4 linked regions of the Xenopus tropicalis genome follow. The protein of the gene in region 1 purifies or fractionates together with the protein of each later gene. This does not show direct contact. Links are inferred from orthologs where the notes say so. Each region holds a gene or a part of one and is shown in the gene's direction. Other genes may lie near its edges. The genes, in order: ccp110, cep76, cep97 and cep290.

Region 1 (4,560 bases):
CTGTATGCGTTGCAACAAAATTCGACAGTATGTCAGGCAGTGCAAATGCTGGAACTGATATTCAACATACAGTCTCGACAAGAGGAACGCAGCAAATGAAACTGTGCTCAACATTTGAAAAAGTGCCTTGTGTGTTGCATCATGATATAGACCTTCCAGATACAATGATCCAACATGGGATTAAAACTAATTGCTTGACATGTTCACCAGACATGATAAAGCACTCTTCACCAGTAGAACTCAATAAATCTTATGATGTGGAAACACCATCACCAATATTGATACAAAGCCAAGGTTCAGGTCAAGCCACAGAGACTCCACTTGGACCCTGTCTTAGAGAACCATTTTTGGAAAACCAGCCCGACATTCAGATTAAGCGTAGACTTGAACTAGACTTAGACACCACACCACCTGCCTCTGGCGAACAAAAGAGGTGGCTTCATAAGCAGAGGAACCGGAGTGGGTCTCTGCAGATGACTTCTACTGATCTGAGCAAAGGTAGTCTAGGTAAGGAGATGAATTGCTACAAGACAATAATTGTACATGATGTGGATGGTGATTTGTCAGTTCTCAAAAAGACACATTTTAGTAGTGTTGGTGGACAGTTAAATGAATATTTCTCTGATCATGCCTTCTAATATGTTCCACTTATTAAATAGAATATCTCTCTCTTAAGTTATGATTACTGAATTGTCACAAAGTAAATATATCCATTCCATTTGGTATTCAAAAAACTTGGACATATTCAAAGTGCTCTTTCCTCATTACTCTTCAGTCTACCATTCAAACCACTTACTGTATCTCATTTCATGGGTTAGTGACCCAAGACATTAAAACTGGGATTAGAATCCCAGTGTAGGACAAGTAGAAGAGGTCAAAGGGAACAAGAAAGAATAATTTAAAATAGATGGTAAATTAAATATGATTGCCTATGCTATGGTAATTAAAATTACAGTCCAACTTTGTTTGTAGTAAATACTTTATAAATAATTGAAGCCTAGCTCATTAAATGCATAGAATAATAATAATATTCTCTTAATATTTGCCTTCATATGTGTGAGCGGTTGCTACCATATTCTCAATGAAACTCTCACAGAAGGAATGATTCACAATATGCCATGCCTTTTTTTTTTGTCTGACCTAGGAGATCATTTTAAAAAGAAGATGCTTGATTTTGAAGAAATGAGAAAGAAACTAGAAGAGCAGCATGCATACCAGCTGTCATTGCTCATCGCTGAACAGGAAAGAGAACAAGAGAAACTAAAAAGGGTGATTTGTTTTGTGTTTGTAATGAATGTTTAGGCAAGGTTTGCAGTTTTTGTAGTATCTTGCTGGATTACTGTGAAGGAATGGCCACATAAAGAGATCTCTATTATAAGGCATTTCAGACAGTTCTGTCAAAAATTGCCATCCCTGTGTAATATACCTGCTCTACCTCCTCCCACCCAACTTCTCTCCAATTATACTACTATGGGGCCGATTCACTAAAGGTCGATAAGTGTTATCGCATGTTTTTTTGCGTTAAAATTGACGCGTTAAATAACGACTGATTTGTCAAAGTAATTTCGCATGCTTTAAATCGTGCGCTACAGCAATGCGTTAATTCTCGCATAGAAATAATACTAACACATGATTCACAAACACATATGAAGCGTTAAACACGCTAAATATCACATTAGTCTGTGTGAAGGTTAACACCTACTTGGGGCAGGCGGTACTTAAAGAAAATTGTGGTTTGTAAACTTTTGGCAACACAATATGGACTTTGCAGTGGGATTTGTTCAAGTCTGTGTTGGCCCTAGAGTGATGCAGCCTCCAGATTTTAGGGAAATGGTCATTTTTAAAGTAGTTTTACGAACATTTTAACGCATGCTATAAATAGCGCTGGGTTTAATGACCTTTAGTGAATCAGCCCCTATGTGTCCATCATATCTTTGTGCTCTCCTCTCTCCTTTGATGTCCTTTCTTTCAATTTCTTGCTCTGAACACCATCACGCTCTGTCCCATCACTGTCCCTGTTGCTGATTCTCTCTTACCATGTGTTGCATGCCTCAGTGTTCTGCCCTCTCCCTGCACCTGTCTCCTTATCTCTTTTGCTTCAAATTCAACTTGCTGTCCCCAAGTCCCCTTTCCCTCTGCATATCAATTACGCTAATCATGTTCCTCTCCTTGCACACGAACCTTAACCTTCTATGTAACAGTGCCACTGCTGCATGTAATCTTCCTGCACCATTCCTCTGTCCTCCCATTAACAAAACTGCACAGGTTCATTTGCCTGCCAATTTAATATCCTGGCTGCTTTACCTCTACCACCTTCTGTTCTTTATTTCTTTTCTTCCTGCACCTCCATGCTCTCCTCCTCTATGACCCATACCTTCCCCAATTTTGCTCTCTGTCTTCTGCACCCTCATACTCTGTTCTGCACCTCCTTCTCCATTTCCTCAGGCGCTGTTCTACCAGCTTCCTATATGTATGAAAATCAAGCTTTTTTTCTAGTCTTGTTTATTTGAAAACTAATGCAGAATTTGTTGATTTGCTCTTTAGGAGTTTGAAGAAGAAGAGAAGCAACTGAAGCTAAAGGACACTGAAAGTTCCACTCATACATTAGACCATGGCAGTAGGATTACTGACAGAAATAATATTACTGAAAGCAGTGTACAAGAAAGAGTGTCATTTCCAGTGGATAATTATCATTCATGTTCCACCTATAGCACAGGTAAAACTGCATTATATTTTTACTACTTTATAGAGGGGTTTCGCATAGCTAGAATTCCAATTTTGCCTGTTGAAAGAAAATTTAATTTAAAGCAATTTCCCAATATGTGTTACTTACAAATTTTTATTGATTTTAAAATTATTTGCAATGAAAGCAGATTCCCTTTCTGATGTGTGTAGTGCTGGTCTCTTGACAGACTATAGCAGAAGACAGCTGAATAACAGGCCTATGAGCAATTGTTGCCAAAAAAACAAGCAATAACTTTGAAGACCTTATAATACCTGATTGGTCATATTTGTTTCTAGTTGATTTATTTAAGAACAAATGCTGATGGTAGGATATTTCTACTCTTGCTCAACAGTTTCTGCTACTTCCCAACATAGCTATGGTTCTGCAAACGAATCTTCATTGGGTTTGTGGGGACCTGTAAAAAGCAGAGCTCCAAGCACATCGATCTCAAGTTCTCATGGGAGACTAAAAACCAGATGGTCTCAGGTAACTTGCTTATTGGGACCCTGTCTTTAATGAACTGGTGATGACTTGCTGGAATTGCAGATGGCCTCTCCATATTAGCAGTGGATTGGGAGTTCTAGAATTTTTTTTTTTTTCTCTCATTATTACCCAAGTAATGGGTAAAGCTACTGTGTTTTTTTGTTTTTGTTCCTAAAGGTTTACAGTCCTGCAATGCAGAGGAAATTTAACAAAGCTACAGCACTTGCAAAAGGCTTCCTTACACGTAGACTTATGCAGACAGAGAAGCTAAAGAACCTGAAAAAAACTGTGAAGGTATGGCCTTTATTTTCTCACCTCGATTCACATTTTTACAAAATTCACCACAAAGTTCCAATTAAGTTCCTGCAATTAGAGCAGAGTTTTATATAGAATGCAGAATCAACCATGCCAGCTGTAAATGTATTCTGTATTCTTTAGACATTGTTTTCATATCTGGCATATCATACTGTCAGATGATGCCCTCTTTTGGCTCTTATAAGGAAGTTGTGACCCTACAAGTGGCTATGGAAAAGAAAGTTGTATCCAAGAGATGATGAGACTAGTTCTAGATGAGACTAGAACTTCCGCAGCATCAAACACCTTTAAATGGGCTACAAGGATAAAAAGTGGAAATATACTGTTTTAGGCTGTTGGCATACTCCATGTGTGGAATCTTCAGCCTTCAACCAACTGTTGCACAGTACTGAAAATCTTGCCAGTTATGCTGGTTTGTGATGTAATCAATAGGAAGCTACAGGCTGTACATCTACATGCCTATGGCATGATTCTCTCATTTGGCATGCTAGCTAACAAACTGGATTTGTAGAAGTTACCATACATATTGACAGCACTTGATGGCTCGAGGCATGTATATTAAGAAAAATGTAATTTATTCCTGTACTGGAATGCAATCATGAGAAGATTAAACAGTGCTACTAAAAAACCCTAAAAACTTGCTAGTCCTAATCAGATAGAAATGTGTGTTTTGCTAACTGCTCATTTCAGTATATGTAGCCCTAATTACCTGGATTTTTACCTACTTTGCTATGCAGTATCCCTGGTAAGACCTTTGGCACTGGGAACCAAATAAGAATATGAAAATTTCCCTTTTTTTAATATAAATTCTACAGTAAAACAAGGCCAGTTGTGCAGTTATGTTGCATCAGTTGGAGGGTGGATTTATTACAAATTGTAGCACTTTATATTACATTATAGTATATTACATGCTATTTTTAAGTACAGGCCAACTTATAATTTAAACTGCTAATGTTTGCATTGGATAACATTTCCATTTTGTGTTTCTTAACTAATTAGGACACTGCAGAGTTTATGAGAACATTTCAATCTGAATT
Region 2 (4,560 bases), on another chromosome or scaffold:
GGTGAATATCTTGATAAAACTTTAGTGTAATGGGAAATAAAAAAAACAGTGCCGATACAGCATACAACATAATTAAGATCATTGATCATTTTGGTGGTTGTAGATGGATGTGCACGGCAAAATACGAGAAGTCTTGGCAGAATCGTTAAGAGAAGAATTTAGGACAGAAAGCCAGCAGTTATCGGAGGAAGATCTGATGAAAGCCTTAAGGCAGCGAGGTATTGTTGATGAAGTCATGAAGGAACTTCATTTTATGGAGGTGAGTTAGGGAGGGTGTTAAAAAATGTGTGCTTTTATTAGATTCATGAAATGCACTTCCTAATGTAATATTTGTTTTATTTAATTTAGGACAGGGATACCAGGGAATTAACATCTACACCAAAGCCAGCCACACATTTTATTGACAAAGAACCAAGAACACTAAAAAAAAGTAAGCTAGTCGTATTTATAGTATACAGGTTTTGTACAGGTACAGGCTGCATATTGCAGTTCTCGGTGTCTCTGAAAATACCCCGGCTTGACTCATGTGGTAGCTGTAGATCCAGAAGAGTGGGGCAGCAGCTTCCTGTCATTTTTTTCTGATTTGTTTATTTAACTAATTTGCTGACCAAAGCTTGCAACAAGGTACAGTGGTCTATGCAATTAGTCAAATCAGTCAATATCTGACCATTCAATACATGGCAGTTGTTTAATATCAGCCAAGTTGTCTAATAAACAGAAACTTTTATGGGGTTATGTAATAAAAGTTTCTAAGTTTGCCCAGGAGCAGTAACCCATAGCAACCAATCAGCAGGTAGCATTTACTGGTCACCTGTTTAAAAGCCAACACGTTATTTGTTGCTATGGGTTACTGCTCCTGGGCAGACTTTTATTGCATATTGGGGCTAGAGCATTAAAGGGAAAGAGAAAGCTTAACAGATTTAAATGTTGTGAATGCAGGCTTTCCGAAATGCAAATAACTGTGAATGTTAAATAAAAGTTTTTCTAGTGTCTGGATATACTGTGCTGCTTTCCATGGCCAACAGCTATTAAATGATTGTAAATTATGAGCCATAAGTTTGCTGTCTATGATAAATTGCACTGCAGTCCTGTGCCCTGATACTAGGTAAAAGAGCTTATATTTAAAATATACATACATTGTTTGATCTTGACTTTCAAATCAAGCTGCACAACACTGGTATTATGGGATGATGACAACTATTTAAAGGAAGTTTTTTTTTTTCAAAACACATCAGTTAATAGAGCTTCTCCAGCAGAATCCTGCACTGAAATCCATTTTTCATAAACACAGATTTTTTCATATTTAATTTTGAAATTTCACATGGGGCTAGCCATATTCTTCATTTCCCAGGGTGCCACAGCCATGTGACATGTGCTCTGATAAACTTCATCGCACTTTACTGCTGAGCTGCATGTTGGAGTGGTATCACCCCCCTCCCAGCAGCCGATCAGCAGAACAATAGGAAGGCAGCAAAATATCAGCTCCCAGTAGATATTAGAATAGCACTCAATAGTAAGAAATCCAAGTCTGGCTTGGGACTCCTCCAGTTGCATGGTAGTAAAACAATAGGTTTTAGAAGTAGTAGAAACAATAGGTTAGCTGAAAGCAGTTCTTATGTGTAGAGCTTTCTGAAAGCTCAGACTGAGGCACAATGCACTAAAATGGCTGCCTACACACCAATATTACAACTAAAAAAAAAATACATTTGTTGGTTCCAGAATCAAGTTTTCAATAGTAGAGTGAATTATCTGCTATGTAAACAGTGTAATTTAGAAATAAAAAGTATACCATAAAAACCATGACAGTATCCCTTTAAAGTTTCGTACCTGCTCGCTCTTTTGTTGTCATGCCAAAAAATGCATCATTGTTAGAAAGAATATAGACAATGTCATGCATATTTAATTTATATTTTAATAGGTATTTTTTAATTCTTTAGAATGACCCCTTGAGTATAACATAAACATTTTTTAAAAATTAATTTAATTAAAAAATACAATGTTTTGCTTCAAAAACAAAATATATTGGTGGATTACTCAGTAGGCAGAGAGACCAGTGTAATGTGTAACCAAGTTATTGGGTTATGGGATCCCTTATCCAGAAACCAGTTATCCAGAAAGCTCAGAATAAAGTGAAGGCCATCTCCCATAAAGTCCTTTCTAAAAATTTTTTTTTTTAAATTATTATTAAATTATAAAATTAATATTGTACTTGATCCTAACTTGGGTATAATTAATCCAATTGGATTTATTTAATGTTTAAATGTTTTTAGCAGATTTAAGATATGGAAATCCAAATTACAGAAAGACACTTTATGAAGAAAAGTCCAGGTCCTGAGCATTCTGGATAACCGGTTCCATAACTGTACAAATCTTCATACAGTGTATAAAAGTTTTACTCACTTAAGCCTTTCTTCTTTCTCATACTGATGTTACAATTAAAATAGACTACAGTAAGGCCAAAAATATTTTGTATTTTTTCCAGCTAATGTTGACCCTACACGTAGATACCTTCATCTTCAGGTTTTAAGTGGAAAAGCTTTTCTCGAGCACCTGCAAGAATCTGATCCCCTTCCAGGTCAAGCCTGCTCTACCTTTACTCTCTGCCTACACTTTAGAAACCAAAGATTTCGCTCAAAGCCTGTACCCTGTGCTTGTGAACCGGACTTCCAGGATGGTTTCTTGCTAGAAGTGCACAAAGACAGCTTAGGTAACACTGCATGCTTGGAATATTTTTATCTCCAAAATGCTGTGAATGTTTTTTGTTTTTGACATGTTTTTTAATCCCAGTTCCTGATAGAGACAGCTAAACCATGGTGATTTATAACTGGTTTGGGATTATTTGAAGGAAAGAAAAAGTAACAGGAGTGAATTTTTCTAAAACCGAAACAAATTGAGCTCAGAAGATGCTGGTTTTTATGAAATCTAATACAATGGTCTTGAGCAAACTAGCAGAAATAATTATATGTGGATTAAGAAAATATATATTGTATCATTTGTATTATCTGTAGATTATTAGATATGACTGGGGATTTAGACTGTGATGTGTGTAGCATTTTGAGAAACCGGCACTTGGTGACAGAGCTCTTTTTTCTTTCCATTTTTAGGTGATGGAAGCAGGATGGCTGATGCCACCACCATGTTATCAATCTGTGACCCTGTGCAGCTGGTGCTATTAAAGACAGATACATCTGGTGAAACCTCACTAGTTTCATCCCACTTTTTAGAGTGGCGCTCAGTTCTGGGAACAGAAAAGGGAGCAACGAGTCTTGTTGTGGAGCTCCTTGGAGTAGGTGAGAAATAAATTGTGTCCATGTTGAATCCAAGCTGTTCCTAAGGCTGATGCCACATGGGGCTGATTCTCTGCCTGCATTTTTATGCCGTGTATGGCATCAGCCTAGGCCTTGATGCTCTACTACTCTCAGCCTACGTTTTTTTTTGCAGGCTGAGAAGCAGATCTTTACGAACTTCAGTAAAACTGCATTGAGAAGTACAGCTTCCGCCTCTGCTCGCCTCAAAACACAAAAGCAAGCATTTTTGGGCCAATCTCCCACTCTGCTGTGCTTCGTGTAATTGAGCAGAGCCAGAAGCTGTACTTGTCAACGTACTTTTACTGAGGTGCTTAAGGGATGAGATGCACTTCTCTCAGCCTACAAGAATATGCAGCCTGAGAGCAGTGTAGCAAACACTCCATGTTCCTTCAGCCTAAGGAAGAATGTATTAACTGGTCTTTGATCCTTTAATAACTCTAGCTAAGAGATTAATACAAAGCTAGAACTCAAGCATCAAGAATGTATTATATTTACCTATACATTCAAAATTTATGGAAATGTTCTAATGGCAACATCTCTTATGTTTTAAAGGTGCTGAATGCAAAGTGTCTGTTGGCATCCTCAATGTAAAACTAGAACTGTATCCACTACTAAACAAAACACTTTCCCAGGAAGTCATTAACACTCAGGTATGCAAAGCTAGTTGTACTACTAATGTACTTATATATAATTTGGTTTCTCATTAATACACCAGTGCAGTTAATGATAGCTACTAATTAGGCATATGTTTTTATTTAACTACTGCTTGTTAGAAAATGAATGCAAAGATCTCATCGGCTGCTATGGGAAACTGCACTAGTAAATTAGCCTCAAAAACTAATTTAGGAGGGGAAGTGTGATATGATATGCTTTTCTTAATACTATAATATTCATTTCAAGTGGTCCCAACTTCTTTAAAAACCATCTGTTCACAGTTTACCTTGGAACGGCAAAAGACAGCTGAGAAGGAAAGGCTCTTTCTGGTGTATGCCAAGCAATGGTGGAGAGAATATTTGCAAATTCGCCCTTCACATAACTCCAGGCTTGTAAAGATTTTTGCACAGGTTTATAGTGAACTTTTAATTAAATGCAGTGTTAATAACTGTCCATGTGATTTGTAACAGTATAATATTGTTTTATAGCAGACAAAACAATACAGTATCATTATTGTCCATTTATGGTCCAGAATTCAAGATCTGAAACTATAGACACATGAAAAGCTAAAACTAAACAATTTGAGCAGTAAAAAACA
Region 3 (3,761 bases), on another chromosome or scaffold:
TTATTATTTACTACACTGACCTGCTTTGAACAAAAAAAAAAAAGAATTTTCTCAAAAAGCATAGCCCAAACAAATTTCTAGTAACAGCTATGTGCTCTATAGCAGTGACACAGTTAGCCAGAATGACTTCAGTTTTTGACATCCAGGATAGTAGTAGTTTTGATATCAATTACAACGGACCTCCTTGCCAGTTTTATTATTTGCAGTGGAAAGGGAAAACACTTGTAGCAACATGGTCTTCCAATGCAGTTACTGAAGAAAATTCTTTATTCTTTAGCATTGTTTTTTTAGTCAAAATTGTTTTTCCAATGACAGTAAATAAGTAGCTTATAAATCTGGTCCCTTGTGTCTGTGCTGTAGGCTAAAAAAAGAGAAAGAAGAGGAGCGAATACAAAGACTTGTGCAAGGGGAAGCCGTGAGGTACCTTTGGGAACAGGTATGTTTTGAATTACTTTTTTACTCTTTAACAATTTACGTACATTATATTGCAAAATATAATATTTTCCAGTGTGACTAGTGTAAGATCTCATCACACTGCATAATCACGCTCTGTGTGATAAGACAAAGCTTTCCAGTTAGGTAGTTTGGAGTAAAAAGATTTTTTTTTTTTTTTTATCTATTTTGAATTGTTTAAAATGTGTGCTTTCCAAAAAACATTGCTATTCTGAAGTAAGGTTATCAAATGTTGAATGAAAAACTGGGGAAAGGTAGTGTGGTGTGGCCATTTTAAATAATTGGGCAAAAGGCGCATTTTCCCAGGGCCACCTGTAAACGGGGCCAACTAGCACACCTTTCATCTAGGATAACTTTTGGCAGAAGTGGCAGACCCTTCATTTTAATTAAGTCGAAGAGCTCTACAGTAGTGTGATTATTTTAATTTATTTGCCTTTTTCTTGTGGCATCACCATTTTGTAATTTGCTCCCTGTGCTGTCAGTCCATGGTGGCACACCTAGGCATCATGTCTACTTCCTTAACAGCAGACCATTTCTTCACTGGCTGCCTTACTGTATTGAACCTCATGTACTTATGACAAATTTCCTGGTGCAGTCGGGGCCCGCCAACTAAATTTTACCCAGGGCCTGTTGGTACCGTAAAGCGGCCCTGAGGTGCCGTGTACTTTGCACGCTGAGGATTTTTAGGCCGCATCTACCTTTTGCCACACCCCTTAAATCACTTCTATTCAATAGATACTTTTTTTATAATTTGAAACAACAGCTTCATTCTAACCTTCTCCAGAACACATTGCAGCATAAAAGCTGAAAAGATGGGAATGGAACCAGGGTAGCACAGCTATAACACCTGCGACACATTGACATTACTGTAATTGCTCCATTAACCTACCATACCCACTTTCCACACATTTTTCTTTTTATTTTCTTATGCTTTATCCTTCTTTTTCCATCTGCTTTTTTGCTCTATACATTTTTCTCCCCTGCACCTTTTTTTTTTTTTTTTTTTTTTTTTGCAACTTGCATGCTGCATTTTGCAAGGTATAAATTGGTTAGACTGCCTCTCTTGTGCCCCTTAGTGTTTTAGCATTTGAAGTAGTAAAGATGCAGTGGCAAGCTGCAGATTCAGGCCCTTCAGACCAATTTGTAAACTTATCTGCTTGTGTATTGGTCCCTCCAACGGGTCTACCCAACCAATATCTGCGCAATGATGCTGTCCTCAATCCGACTGCCTACATAGCAGCAGTTATGATCTTATCATTGGCCTAAGCTCCAAGCAATTGGGTCTGCTTGGTATTGTAAACCCCAAGGTGGGCACGTCTTTGAAAGATATGCTTGTTTGGAGACCTTGATAAACAAGTGGATCTTCATGTGTGTGGCCAGCTTTAGACAAAAAAGTAGGTCTGTTCTTGCAAGGTTGTGTAGCAGCTAGTGATTTTCCTTTAGTAAAATACACCAAAAACTTCAGATTAAAATTTCTCTTCTATTTCACAGGTACAAGCCATACAACAATGGCAAAATACAGTAAAATGGCAAACTGCCAATGGTTGTAATGATTTTCAACCACTCAGTAATTCAAAGCATGACAATCCTGTTTTGGAAGAGATACCTTCTTGTAATGCTTTAATCCCTGAAAAGCTGAATAGAAAAACATCACCAGACATCCCAGACTCTGGGTTTCACTCTGTCATATTGAATCACTGCACCCTGAATAGTACTGAGAAGAATTCCTCTGAGGAAAGCGAATATTCTCAGCCCTCTCTGGATACCGTTCGACATTACAATGACAAGGCACCAGACAGCCCTTCAGAACACGATTTGACTAGAGAAGAGCAAAGCCATAGCAGCAAAGAAAGTTTCACCAGTGAGCAGGACAGCAGTCTTCTGCAGCAGTATCTAAAGTCTGTTGAGCAGCTGGATGAGACTGAAGATAATACAAGCTACAGTGACAGGACTGAGGAAAGTAGACCTGAAATTACCAATTGTTCAGACAATTCTGACTTGTCCTGCAGCATCTCCCACTTCCTACCTGAAAACAGTAAGCAGGAAAACACTGACATACATAGCAACTTACCTTCTATAGATGATGGACAAAGCACACAAAAAACATGTGATTCTGGTTTACCAGTGCCACAGCCAGAATTAGTCCTTTAAGTACCTGTGTGTCAGCAGAATTGGTTTATTGACTTTCGTGTGGAACTGAATTTGAGAATCTCTTCTACTTTTATGCACTTTAAATTATCACACCATTTTACTAAAAGCACATCATGCCATCTTTCTGTTCAATAAATTCCATATTTATGTACAATCCTCTGCAACAAGCATCTATTTTCTGTATACTGCTATTTCATACAGTGTAGGTAGTATAACAAAGTATATGTGAGTGAACTGTGCAGTGTGCATGTTGATGGAAAGCAGAATTAACTTTGCATGTATTTTAACTATGCCTTAAATATCTTCTACCAAACTGTTATCGTCTATTAGCAGTGTTAAAAAAGAAACATATCATACAGTACACCAGGAAAAGCAAAGGTAAATGCAGCACCTTTTCTTGAACTGTTATTCATCTTGTTCTCACAGACAATATGAGGAATCAGTCTAGAGTCTGTAATTTCAGCAGTAAAGAAATCAGAAGAAAATATCCAGGTTATATAAAATATGTGGCTATTAAAGCCAGTTTGAACGGCTTTGTATTTCTTATGTAGTTTGACTCTCCAGTACCTCAGAAAACATTTTGACAAACGTAGCATCCAAGATACTAAATATGACTACTGTAAAGATAGTTATTGGAATAGTACAGGAAAATGTTAGTAAAAGTTGATATGCCTTTCAAGATAAATGTCACATGTACACAGGAATTGAAAAAATGCACCAATATGGCCGGACTGTGTTACAATCTTTCCAATCACTTATGGAAATGCAACTGCAGCTCTGAGTCAGGTTATTATCCCTCTTACAGGTTGACAACTCAATCACACTTCAATCTTTTTTTTATTTTTACACATATAAACTGTGGCCCAGTAGCACCACTGCTAACAATTGATCCAATAACTCAGTGGAGGAGTCCTCAGTCACAAATCTGTATCGCCCACTTAACTATCTGACATTTTATTTGAAGAGTGTGGGGGGTGATTTAATCTCATTCTCCCTTAATTTTTGGTGTCTTTGTAGGATAGGTGAGTGGGTAAAAACTCACCAAACCTACAGACTATAGGCCTGACACATTTTTTTTGGAAGGATGTATTTATGTCCAGGGTAATACTACCCAGTTTATCTTTTATAAAGATCCTTGCCTTTTTGTAAATTGTCAA
Region 4 (4,560 bases), on another chromosome or scaffold:
TGGCACTTACCTTCCGCTGCCTCATAAACTCAGTTGAAAACTGTGGTACTTATTTTTTTTTTTGTTTAATAGTCTACTGGCATTCTGAGTTTTAAAGGGGTTGTACAACATTCACAAATCTAACAGTTTGCATTAATAGAACAATTTTTGCCATATAGAAAGTTAACAAAAATTGTGTAGCACCTCAGAATAATCCCTCTGCTGATTCTTCACTTCTGCACAGATCCTGTGTTGGGGGCAGGCCCGGATTTGTGGTGAGGTCAGAAAGGCCCAGGCCTAGGGTGGCACAAATTTAGGGGGCGCCACGCCTCTCCCCACTGCTCCGTGAGATTAATGGGGGCAGCCTCGGGGGCCCCAGTATAAGAGGGAGAGGGGTTGGGGGGGGGTGCATTGACCTCTATAAACAGTACAGTTGCTTTTTTACTTATGTGATGTCATGCATAGTACTGACAGCAGACTTAACTCCTATTGGCTGTGTCTCCTGTCAGTCTAACATTGCTTCCTGTGCCTGTGGCAAATCTAACTTTTTAATTTATGCTTCTGGTTAGAGTGCACAAGCAACTATTGAATTGGTCAAATAGGAAAAAAATAAAGGCAAAGCCTCGACGTGACAATGTAAGCATATAAGTTGTCAGTGTGTCAGGGTCAAAATAGGCCACTCCCATCCCGTCAGAAAACAGATCAGAGAAGGACATTTGGCAGGTATAAAAAGTAGCTTTTTCAGTGTCTTTGTACTTTTTGTAATGGATTTTCCAGCACTCTAAGAACAATTTAATAAGATTTGGAAATTAAAGGTGAACAACACTTTAAACACTAGTCTGTTTCTAGTAAAAACAACTATTTTTTACCAATGGAAATGATAGCCTTGCTTTAATAACCAAATGATTTACTTCTCTTTAAGTAAATATTGTTCTTTATATTACCAGAAAGTCCTTAAAGATGCCGCCTTCTTTGGATTGGGGAAGACTCATGAAAGTGGACCCAGATGCTCTTCCCAATCAAGAAAGAACAGCCAATGAAATGCAAACTACGATATCAATGGTTTGTCTACTGGTGTTTTACCAGTCACAAAGTTAAAAATTATAGACGTTTTAAACACAGAGCACAAAGAGCAAGTATTATTAAATATACAAACTAAGGTTACAAATGGTACAGGTGATGAGACCATCACATATTTACATGAGTTTAGTGAATAGGATTTTTTTTAAATAAACTTTTTGTCATTTGCTTTATTAACAAACCTGTGTTTTTTTGTTATTATTTAAGCCAAACAGGGCAACAGAAATTTGAAGCTACTTGTGTTTAGTTCTGCTAGGTAGATAATGAGAGTAGCAGTGTATGGATAAAAAGTTGACCATTATGTAGGGGGATTATTTGAACCAAACATGAAGTGGCTTCAATTTTCCTGTGTAGCTCAAGAAATAACAAAAAGCTTTTTTTTCTGATTAAAATAATAGGCAAAACGTATATTCTGCACCTTTATTGAATTTATCCGTAAGTGAATAGTATTTATCCCTTTTATATTAGGAACAGACATCATTCTGAATTTTGTAATTTTTTTTAACAAAAAATGATTTGTCTTTCTTAGGTCAAAAGCACAGATATAAAAGATGAACCAAATGAAAACTTGATACAGCTGTTTCGAATTTCACAATGCTTGATGAAGGTATGCTTCCTCACATAACTGCTCTTTTTTTGTAACTTTATTTTGTCAGTAGTTCACAGCAAGTATATAGCATTATGCAATTGTAGTAGTCATCTAGTTGACAATGGGTTTAAAGCTCCATTTGTCCCTTCAATGGAAACTGATGAAAAGACTTTAACATTATCAAAATAATGGTTTTCTTGATGGAATTTTTCAGAAATTTAAATATTTTTCTGATATTAATGTTTTCTACTTTCTTGTTTAGTTAAAGGCTCAAGAGGTACAATTATTGTTAGAAGAAGCAGAGAAGGCAAATGAAGAACAACTGAAAACTGGTATGTGTCACAAAACATTATGAGTATTTGGAAAAAACAAAACAAAATTGTCATTTTGTAGGTATTGAAGTATTCATAAAACACACATTACTGCTAGCCTGTGTGGTTTTGTGTTAAAAACAAAACAAAAAAAAAAAACAGAAGAAAATTGCCTAAATGATTTTCTAAAATATTAGAAAAGCAAAGTTTAGCACCTTACAATCATTACTTCAGTGGGTATTAGGAATGGTTCCATGGGAGCAGTGCTTATTCTTTTTTTTTTTTGTATATTCTTTATTTATCATTTTAACATGGGATAGGTGAGGGTACAGAAAGGAATGGGGGGGGGGGGGGAGAGGGAATATACAAGCATGTTTTACAATCAGAATTATTGTTCACAGCTTGGGAGCAGTGCTTATTCTTATTCTTTACAATTCAGTAGTAAAGCCGCATATGAAAAATGCTATGTAGTTTTGGTCTTCAGAGCTGAAAAAGGGACACTATTGAAATAAAGTCCGGACAACTAACTAGATAAAGGGTCTCTAATTTCTCTGTTATGAAGAAAGGCTAGCCAGATTGGGATAGTTTGCACTGCAGCATAGGTGCTTTAGGGCATTATCACACAAGGCTCTTCATCGCTAGACGGGAATCATTCTAATCTCATACTAAGGTGCAGTTGTGATGTTTTTGAATTTTCTCCATAAAGCAGTTTATTTGATAATTATATAGCAAGTGAGAAAATAAAAGGTTAATAAAATAACCATTACTTTTTGTTTTCTGGAAATTCAGACAAAATACTTGTCTGTTTATTATGACTATGGTTGAAACTACTTTCCTAAGGGCCCTACATAAAACGAAAGGTGATGTTTTTGGTAGAATCGGCACTCTCTTTGGCCATTTTACTTAATTCATAGATAGCCCTGCAGCTTCATTTTTGATTAATATTTCCTGTTTCATTTGACAGAAAACCAATTAAGAAACAGAGTAAAGCGTCTGGAGAATGAAATCGAGGTGAGTTTCTCTTCTATAGATCTTTATTATCACTTTTTTTTTCATGTCATATATTTTAAAGCACTCCTGTTTTGTGTTAAAGGAGAAGGAAAGGTAAAATTACTGGGGAGGTCCCAAAGTGCAAAGCACCCCCAAGTGATTGTAATCGCTTACATTATTCCTTGGCCGGTGCTCTTGTTAGGAGAAAACTGCACCAGCCCAGGGTAGCTGCGAACGAGTGATCCTCCTCCTCCTGTCTTGTTTCTTAGTGACAAACGCATGTGCAGTAGAGTGGAAACACCACTTTTTAAATTAAAGTTCGGCTTTTCACTTTACTGAGTATGCGCTGTTGGCATGAAGACAGAAGAAGGAAGAGGATCGCTACCTCGGACTGGTGCGGTTTTCTTCTAACAGGAGCACCAGCCCGGGGTATAAGATAAGTGATTACAATCACTGGGGGGTGCCTAACATTTTGGTACCCCCAAGTAATTGCACTTTTCTTTCTCCTTTAAGGGTTGAAAACTATTTTGTCTGTACTGTATGTGACGTATATTTTTTTTGGCAGGCTGTCACTTTGCTGTCGATGTAGCACATATGGCATCAGCAAGCAAACGGTTAATATTCTTTATATAGATATCATTTATACAGCTTCTATCTTGATTTTTATTTAGTAAACCTCAGTAACAGCCAATATGACTCAATCCTCTAAAGCCAATACATGCAAAGGCAATTAATGCAAATATACAGAGAGTAAAAAATCACACTGCATATAAGATTATGCATATTTGTAAATAATACATTTTATTAGTCTAAAAAGTGACATTACAAACTTGTAACTCCTCAAAAGCTTAACCTTGCTAGTTTACATTATATAGGATACATTTCTCTTCTACAGATTTTTAGGATATAGATAACCTCAGTTTAAAGTTGTTCAATTTGAAAGGCAAAGTTCAAATATTAGAATGTATTTTTTCTTGTTTTTAAAACAGGTGGCACAGCTATCCTCTGGTAGCAGAGATTCACGTTTTTTGCGTGAAGAAATTAGACAGCTGGAGGAGCAGTTGCGTCAGAGTGAGAGAGAATGCAAAGATATGGCAAATGAGTTGGAAAGGGAGAAACAAGTTAATGAACAAGTAAGTTATATCAATGACCACCTTCCTTTCATTTGTGTCGGTATATTTTGTGAAGCTAAACAGTGTTGTTATTGGAAGATACTAGGTCGTGTGAACAAAAATAAAGTACATTTTTGTAAATGTTTTTTTAGCTTGGAGACAAAAAGTTTTGTATTGTTCCTGTCTAACTGTAATGTTTTCATACCAAAGCAGATCCCATTTGACAGTGAGATGTAGTTCCCACATTACTACTATCTCAGTCTGGTACTTTTATTATTACTGTGATGTCCTGTGATGTGATTTTTTAGTGTTACTGTTCCTTTAAAAGATCAGAACCCAGGAAAACTTCCCTTTTGACAGTGTGTTCATTGTGCCACTAATTTTTACTAACTGTTACATTTTATTCCATTTTTCTATTGCCAGAGCCTTTAGAATGAATCTTTCTCGCTCACAATTACTGCATCAGTTGCATGCCAATCCAATTTGATTTCTGGTGTGG

Evidence for each region.
Region 2: the proteins of ccp110 (region 1) and cep76 purify together in Homo sapiens (co-immunoprecipitation; 4 studies listed by BioGRID and IntAct, with this or other methods). This does not show direct contact. The link is inferred for Xenopus tropicalis from reciprocal best matches to the Homo sapiens genes CCP110 and CEP76.
Region 3: the proteins of ccp110 (region 1) and cep97 purify together in Homo sapiens (co-immunoprecipitation; 10 studies listed by BioGRID and IntAct, with this or other methods). This does not show direct contact. The link is inferred for Xenopus tropicalis from reciprocal best matches to the Homo sapiens genes CCP110 and CEP97.
Region 4: the proteins of ccp110 (region 1) and cep290 purify together in Homo sapiens (co-immunoprecipitation; 6 studies listed by BioGRID and IntAct, with this or other methods). This does not show direct contact. The link is inferred for Xenopus tropicalis from reciprocal best matches to the Homo sapiens genes CCP110 and CEP290.

What each region holds. Positions count from the first base shown.
Region 1 is NC_030685.2:31,827,918-31,832,477, forward strand, and holds part of ccp110 (centriolar coiled-coil protein of 110 kDa), read left to right. Parts: coding exon 1-507; intron 508-1,144; coding exon 1,145-1,269; intron 1,270-2,544; coding exon 2,545-2,716; intron 2,717-3,077; coding exon 3,078-3,211; intron 3,212-3,385; coding exon 3,386-3,502; intron 3,503-4,522; coding exon 4,523-4,560.
Region 2 is NC_030682.2:103,535,814-103,540,373, forward strand, and holds part of cep76 (centrosomal protein of 76 kDa), read left to right. Parts: intron 1-103; coding exon 104-259; intron 260-348; coding exon 349-430; intron 431-2,482; coding exon 2,483-2,707; intron 2,708-3,104; coding exon 3,105-3,290; intron 3,291-3,860; coding exon 3,861-3,958; intron 3,959-4,243; coding exon 4,244-4,372; intron 4,373-4,560. UniProt on the Homo sapiens protein: Centrosomal protein involved in regulation of centriole duplication. Required to limit centriole duplication to once per cell cycle by preventing centriole reduplication.
Region 3 is NC_030678.2:101,957,450-101,961,210, forward strand, and holds the end of cep97 (centrosomal protein of 97 kDa), read left to right. Parts: intron 1-360; coding exon 361-436; intron 437-1,944; coding exon 1,945-2,604; 3' UTR 2,605-2,758; downstream 2,759-3,761. UniProt on the Homo sapiens protein: Acts as a key negative regulator of ciliogenesis in collaboration with CCP110 by capping the mother centriole thereby preventing cilia formation. Required for recruitment of CCP110 to the centrosome.
Region 4 is NC_030679.2:54,384,771-54,389,330, reverse strand, and holds part of cep290 (centrosomal protein of 290 kDa), read left to right. Parts: exon of another isoform or gene 1-45; intron 46-926; 5' UTR 927-939; coding exon 940-1,041; intron 1,042-1,588; coding exon 1,589-1,666; intron 1,667-1,910; coding exon 1,911-1,980; intron 1,981-2,923; coding exon 2,924-2,970; intron 2,971-3,938; coding exon 3,939-4,082; intron 4,083-4,560. UniProt on the Homo sapiens protein: Involved in early and late steps in cilia formation. Its association with CCP110 is required for inhibition of primary cilia formation by CCP110.